2 linked regions of the Nothobranchius furzeri genome follow. The protein of the gene in region 1 interacts with the protein of each later gene in a pairwise test. Links are inferred from orthologs where the notes say so. Each region holds a gene or a part of one and is shown on either strand. Other genes may lie near its edges.

Evidence for each region. The genes of interacting proteins can lie anywhere in the genome.
Region 2: the proteins of chd3 (region 1) and sirt6 interact in a two-hybrid assay, tested with the Homo sapiens proteins (2 studies listed by BioGRID and IntAct). The link is inferred for Nothobranchius furzeri from reciprocal best matches to the Homo sapiens genes CHD3 and SIRT6.

Annotation. Positions count from the first base shown.
Region 1 is NC_091742.1:58,727,773-58,731,285, reverse strand, and holds part of chd3 (chromodomain-helicase-DNA-binding protein 3), read left to right. Parts: intron 1-22; coding exon 23-147; intron 148-223; coding exon 224-418; intron 419-482; coding exon 483-610; intron 611-744; coding exon 745-983; intron 984-1,085; coding exon 1,086-1,219; intron 1,220-1,320; coding exon 1,321-1,450; intron 1,451-3,513.
Region 2 is NC_091751.1:57,913,011-57,917,109, forward strand, and holds the start of sirt6 (NAD-dependent protein deacylase sirtuin-6), read left to right. Parts: upstream 1-1,296; 5' UTR 1,297-1,370; coding exon 1,371-1,436; intron 1,437-1,743; coding exon 1,744-1,871; intron 1,872-4,099. UniProt on the Homo sapiens protein: NAD-dependent protein deacetylase, deacylase and mono-ADP-ribosyltransferase that plays an essential role in DNA damage repair, telomere maintenance, metabolic homeostasis, inflammation, tumorigenesis and aging.

The sequences.
Region 1 (3,513 bases):
TCCGTGCTCTCTTTAACCCCAGAAGATGAAGTGGAGCTATCAGAGAGAGAGGTCCCGTGCCGGAAGAAAGGCAGACCCAAGAAGAAAGACACAAAGAAGAAAGAGAAAGAGGGGAAGCCGGTCAAAGCAAAAAAACGGAAGAAGATTGTAAGTTTAATGGGTTTTCTGTCCGCATCATTTTCCGTCTGATGACTGAGGTCCCTGTCTGAACCTGTTGTGTCAGTCCACTGTGCAGGACAGCGATGTAGAGCGAAACTCGGACAGAGACTATGGCGGGAACTCGGACAGTGCAGCCAGCGACTATGGCTCTGGAGAGAAGAAGAAAAAGAAGAAACACAAAGAAAGGAAAGAGAAGAAAACCAAGAGGAAGAAAAAAGACAACAGAGACAGAGATAGCAGTCAGGAGGAAACAGCAAAGGTAAGAATTAAGAGTTTGGTTGTCATATAAGTTCTTGGAAAAGCCCGACCTGGTATCTTCTCAGCAGCCTGTGGAGCAGAAGACCTCTGCCCAGCTGGCGAAGGAGTGGGGACTGGAGGACGTTGATCATACCTTCACGGAGGAGGACTACAGGGAACTCACAAACTACAAAGCCTTCAGCCAGTTTATGAGGTACTTTGTTTTTAATATGATATTAAAGTTTGCAAACATCGAGGGTGCTTTGCCACTTCAGGAGGTGTTTAGTAGAGCTTTTCCAGCTTGGAAACCTTGCCATTTTCTTGAGTTTGACCTTCTGCTGGTCCCAGGCCGATGATAGCCAAGAAGAACCCTAAGATCCCCATGTCAAAGATGATGACCATCCTAGGGGCCAAGTGGAGGGAGTTCAGCTCCAACAACCCCTTCAAAGGCAACGCCGCTGCTGTAGCAGCGGCTGCCGCCGCCGCCGCCATCGCTGTTGCCGAGCAGGTTTCTGCAGCGACTGCCTCCCCCGAGCCGCCTCCTCAACCGCCGCCGATCAGAAAGGCCAAGACGAAAGAGGGCAAAGGTCAGTGGTGAGCTTTGGCTCTGTCTGTGTACTGTTTGCCTTTGATCCTGTTTAGATAATCGTCAGAAACAGAGGTGGCAGAGAACCTTCTTCTCTTTCCAGGTCCAGGATACAAGAAACGCAGTAAAAGTCCTCGAGTAGCAGACAAGAAAAAAGCTGTGGCCAAGGCCAAGAAGATGGCGCCCATTCGTATTAAACTATTAGCCATTGGAGCCAAGAGGAAGAAGAGTTGCTCTGTGAGTCCAACCTTCACACGGTGCAGGAAACTCTTCATCTCGGGCGATCAGTAACCAGTGTGTTATTAGTGAATTTGTGTTTGTTGTGATTTGTGCTTCAGAGCGACGACATGGATGAGGAGGAGTCTGAGCAGGAGGACTCCAGCGTTCACAGCTCCTCGGTTCGCTCGGACAGCTCTGGACGGGCGAAGAAGAACAAGAGAGGACGGCCCGCCAAGAAGAAGAAAAAGAGTAAGACAGTTCTGCTTGTGCATTATATTTTACTGGTATAACTGGATATATTGGCACCGAAATGTGAAATGGGAAATGACCAGTATCAGCTTTTGTTCTTTTAATGTCACAACTTCTCCACACTAACACATTTATGCATCCAAGTCTTCAGCTACTTCTTCTCTCACTCAAAGTCAAAATCTGACAGATCTGAGGTTTAGATTTTGAGTTGTTTTTGTTTGTTTGGCACAAAAGGCCCAACCTAAAATGAAGTAGTTGGCATATTTTGCACTGTTACATGCATGATATGCGATAGGCGATGTTACGTAATATGATATTAGTTTGGAGAAATAAAGTTTCATTCTGACTTGACTGACAGGCAAACGGTTAGTTTGAGTAGAGACAAACCCACCCTGGTTCACATTTAAAGTGATTCTTTGAAGCTTTTTCATATTTTCATATGCTTTTCTTGAGCCAGTGTGTGCTAAAATGACCCGTTACGGGGTTATTGAAATGTCACAAAGACCCCCACCGCCCTCTGTGGCCAGAATAGCGTAGAAGCGGAACAGTTTACCCGCGAAAATCGTAGCGAAGCGGCTTCTCTGCTGCGCTCCTCGCTCGACTCGCAGGAACACACGATCCCTCGAGACTTCAAAGGTTACGGTCTGTTTATGCAATCCGCCGTTGAACCAAAATGAAGGAAATCCCGTTGTTATTGCTGTTTGATGTCATATAAGATGTTGTCCCTCTCCAGTGCCAGGATTAAAGCCATGAAAAACACACCGCTGCACTTCAGGAACGATGCTGGGAGTAAATACGTCGTTGGGTCACACGTAAGCCTCATATATATGAATCCCATTGCTGCAGTACTTTTATTTTGAAAATTACTGGGGATTTCACACTGAAACTGTGTGTGATTTCCTGTCTTGCTCTATGTTAACTGTGGAAATTGACGCATCCCAAAAGCGGCTTGTGGAAAATATAGAGCCCGGTCCAATCTTTCCGTGTTTGTTTTGAATCTCGTACAGCGCTTTGATTTGCACTTGCTGTATGAAAAGTGCTTCATAAATAAAGTTTGATTTGATTTGATCTTTAGTGGCGCAGGGTGCCATTTCTGGGACACATCTGAAAATTGCAGCGTCGTGACTGGTTTGTGACACTCCATAGACTTTAATGGATTCTATTTGAAGCAGTGCCGTTCCGCGCCGCTGATGCTTCCAGTGTGCAGCAGGGGTGAAGCCTGATTTATACTTCTCCGTGTGTCAGCACGAAGAAAAGCAATGCCATTATCCGTTGTGGCAACGGCTCTCCAACAGGCTCGCAAGGATGAACAGAGTAGAGCCCTCTTTTCTAACTATCTGTTGAAAGCGACGGAGACCGCAAGCCTGTGATTGGTCAGGACGCCACTTCCTTTAACTTCTCCAACAGCACCGCCATACCTCCTCAAAAACATAAAACGAGAACCAAACATATTAGCTTCAGAGACTGAAGAAAGTCTTGTGCAAAAAGTCCATCGATATAAACATTACACCCGTGACTGAAGGAGTACAAAGAAAGGCTGCAAGCTTTTTATTTGTGTCAGGAAATTATAGGAAAGGTGAGTTTAGAGGTGGTGACTTGATGATGATGATGAGGTGAAGGACAAATTAGTCCACGTTAAACCGTCTCTGAAACATAAACAGAGACGTGACCGCATTGGTGGCAGGAAGCAACAGAAAAGCGCTACGCCCTCTGCTGCACTGGTGGAGAATTGCTTTACAACTAACTAACTTGTTTTTATTTGACTATTTTTTCTGTCCTGTCTGTTTATTATCTTCCTGCATCTCCTCTCAATCCTAAAGAAAAACTGCTACCTGGGTTCATATATATTCACCTCATGAGTTACCTTTGTACTGCAGTTCTAAAAGATCCACCGACCGCAAAAACAGCGGAGTGCGCACTGACCGCACCGGTGAGATGAAATCACCGGAGGACAAAACATGTGATGCACTCCCGCTCCACAGCAGCGAAACGCATCAGGCACAAATAAATGACAGAAAACATAAAAGGAAATGAGCCGACATGAACAATCGCGTGTTAAATTT
Region 2 (4,099 bases), on another chromosome or scaffold:
TTTTAAATTGGTGGACTGTTTCCCAACGTCATGAGAGACTCGTGGCAATGGAGGGCCGTCCCGTCTGCTGGAGTCTGCTGAGTCAGCTCCTCATATGAACATTCTTACTAAAACATGAAATTGATCTCTGCTGGGTTTTTATCTTGGATGTGTTTTTCTGTCACTCAGTGTGGGGTTGTGTTTTTTTGAATGAACTTGTTATTAAAGTTGTGTAATAATCAAGTTGTTGAAGGTTAGAGGGGCAGAACTAATTATTGATTAGAATTGTATTTCTCCTCAGCGTTGCTCTCTGAGCCGCCTGATGGACCCGAAGAACTAAAGCAGAGTGTAAATTAAATTTTAATACGCTTTGCCAGATGTTTCTCTTTTTGCTTTCTTGCAGGCCCTATGATTTTAGTTTTTCTTTGTTAGATGTTCGGCATGCACTGGAATAGGTAGTCTTGTGTCGGTGTGTACTACCGAGATCAAACTTCTTCAGCCCTACAACTGAAAATGAAATGTTAGCCCCCTTTATTGATTTATTTTTTTGTAAGAGTGGTTTTGATTTTGTTTTTAGAGTGTGTGGATGTCCTATGTGTAATTTTGTCTTCAGTAAGCATTATTGTTTTATTTACTTTAATTGGGACATCATATTGAATTACTCAGGATAAAATTATACGCGACAAAACAATTGAGACGAGCAACTCCTTTCCTCTTTCGGTGGTCTTCAGTGTCAGTTCACAGCTTCTACAGGAACCATAATCCAATATGCACACGTATGAATGATCACCATATGGTTTTACTTTTCTGTCTGTTTTTTTTTTCTCAAATATTTAAAAATGAAAAATAAAGATTAATTTGAAAGAAAAATGCATACTGTTTTTAAAGCTTGGAGTCATTTAAATGATTTTTTAAAAGTTGTTCTGCAGGTGAAGATGGAAGATTTTTGTTTAGTTTTAGTCTAAATGTAGTCATTTTACAGATATGTTTGAGAATAAATGTCCTTGTTTGTGGAATGTCTGATCAGGTTAAATCCCATTTTTAAAAGGCACCGAACCGTTTTGTTCTGTGGGATTTTTCAGTTTTTATTATCAGACTTTTTATTCTAATATATTCAGTTTCATTGTGTAATTTGGATTTAAATTTTTACTCAATTTCTAACAGCTGTACGGTCTAATCTAATCTCTACCACAAGTCTAAACTGGTCTGAACGAAGGTGGAGCGCACGTTGAGGTATTTTAATTCCTGAAGTTCTTGAATGCAGCATGTGTCGGCGCACAGTGATGTCGTCATTCAAACGAAGCACCCTAAACCTGGCTGGAAGAAATACGCAACAGATAAAACAAGAACAGTTTGTAAAACAAAGAAAAAAAAAATAAACAGTTACAGTCATGTCTGTGAACTACGCTGCAGGACTATCGCCTTACGCGGATAAGGGTGTTTGCGGTCTACCTGAGGTAACATTTAGGTGTTGTATCGCTCCGAGAGCTTTTCAAAGAGCTAGTTAAATTAGCAACGTAGCGTCGCTTTCATTGAGAATGCATTTTTGTTTGGTTCGTTTAAGAGTAATAATATAAAGACGGTGTTGTAGAGCAGACCGTCTGTGCTGTGTTAGCCTCTTTGTTATTTAACATAAACACTATGAAGCACGGTGGAGGATAGATGATGGTGTGTTCTTTTGTTGTTGCCACACATCTGGCACGGTTGTATACAATAGTCGCCCCCTTGCTAATTGTTTAATTGTGTGTTTTTGATCTGTGCCAGAGTTTTGATAATCCGGAGGAGCTAAAAGCAAAAGTGGAAGCCCTCGCTCAGCTGATTAAAGAATCTCAGTACTTGGTTGTCCACTCTGGAGCTGGAATTAGCACCTCAGCAGGCATCCCTGACTTCAGGTGAGAGACAATATGTTTGTTCCTGCTAATGATTAAAAGCATTCTAGCGGATTTTTCCATTTGATGTGATCACACACACCTGAATTCGGATCTTCCACTCATCAAAGTGGTACAGCTGGTCCTCATTTGGTAGATTTCTTAGCTTTTATTTTGTCTTTATGACTGTAAAAGAGTAAATCTTGGTTCTCATATGTGCAAACTAATTTTGAACAACTTAATCAGCTTATGATGGAAGATATGTATTGTTTATGTTTATGTATTTAGCAGACGCTTTTGTCCAAAGCGACTTACAAGTGATAATCGGCATGTTGCCCCTGAGGCTAACAACAACAATAACAACAACTTGACATCAATAATTGTATTGTATTGTGTTATTAAAGGTGTGGAACACTGGAAACCATTTTTTAAAATCGTATTTCTGATTACAATGGGTCACTCAGAGTTTTTCATGCAGGCTGAACATGAAAATAGTCTCCTACACCTATCTCCTGCATTGGCATCTGATAGAAAATAGATGGTGAAATGCTAGGTTTTTAAAAGCCTGACAGATCTACATTACACTGACTCTTAACATCCATGGACTCACCCACCATGGCTCACGATTTGGAAGGCCTAAGCCAAATTTATACTTTTCCATCTGCGTCAGTACGGAAACACGCAACACCATTATCCATTGTTGAGAGGGCTTTCCAACAGGCAGCCAAGGACGGACAGAGTCGAGCCCACTTTTCTAAACACAGCAGTAGCTCAGGAGGTAGAGCGTGTTGTCCAGTAATTGGAAGTTTGCAGGTTCAAGCCCCGCTCAGTTTGTCACTGTCATTGTGTCCTTGGGCAAGACACTTAACCTACCTTGCCTGCTTGTGGTGGTCAGAGGGATCGGTGACGCCAGTGCTCCACAGCCCCGCTTCTGTCAGTGCACCCCAGGGCATCTGTGGCTACATCGTAGCTCATCCCCACCAGTTTGTGAATGACTGATTGTGTTGTGAAATGCCTTGGGGGGGGGGGGGGGGGGGGGGGGGGGTTGTATGACCCTAAGAAGGCGCTATACAAATACAGGCCATTTACCATTTAAACATCTGTTGAACAAGACAAGAAACTACAAGCTTACCATACCATAGTTTGTTTATATAGCACATTTAAAACGCAGCATGGGAGCTGCCCAAAGTGCTGCACAGGCTGGACCAAATCACGACCCATCAAAGCAGCAACAACAGAGGATAAAAATGCCGATCAATAAAAGCAAATAAAACATGAGGAATACTAAGAACACATCAAAACAATAATACAATAAAACAAAACGACTCACGGCGTAAAAGCCAAATCGTAGAAGTGGGTGTTTAAACGAGATTTAAAAACCGCCAATGATGGAGCCTGTCGAACTGTAATAGGTAGAGTTTCACAGCTTTGGGGCAGCATGTACAAATGCTCGTTCACCCCATGATTTGTAACGCATCGGGGGAGTGCAAAGCAGCAGGAGGCCAGCCGACCTCAACGTGCGCGTGGGTACATAGGGAGTGAGCAGGTCAGAGAGATTAGGAGGTGACAGGTCGTTCAATTCAAGTTTATTTATATAGCGCCAAATCACGACAAGAGTCTTCTCAAGGCACTTCACATAATAAACATTCCAATTCAGGTCAGTTCATTAAGCCAATCAGAAATAATGTTTCCTATATAAGGAACCCAGCAAATTGCATCAAGTCACTGACTAGTGACTTTACAGCAATCCTCATAATAAGCAAGCATAAAGCGACAGTGGAGAGGAAAACTCCCTTTTAACAGGAAGAAACCTCCAGAGAATCCTGGCTCAGTATAACACACACACACACACACACACACACACACACACACACACACACACACACACACACACACACACAGACAGACAGACAGTAATGTGTCTATAGTTACATTGTGATTTCTTAGTAAATATTCTATTTGGTGAGAGATAAACTTTATTGTATTTATCCTAGTGGATCTATAATTAAACGGATAAACTAGCAGTAGCACATCCAACGTCAAGGAAAGCAAAACGTTATTATCAGGAGAGGGAGAATGTTTGAGTGGTTAGCAGCATTGTGCTAGACGATGGCCCCCTCCATGAGGCCACCACAGCTCAGCAGAACATCATTGTAGCTTCTTCTTCGTTGAGTGCTTTAAAGACAAAAATCAATACCTTAAACTGTACTCGGAAAATGACAGGGTGCCAGTGAAGATGTGTCAGGACTGGG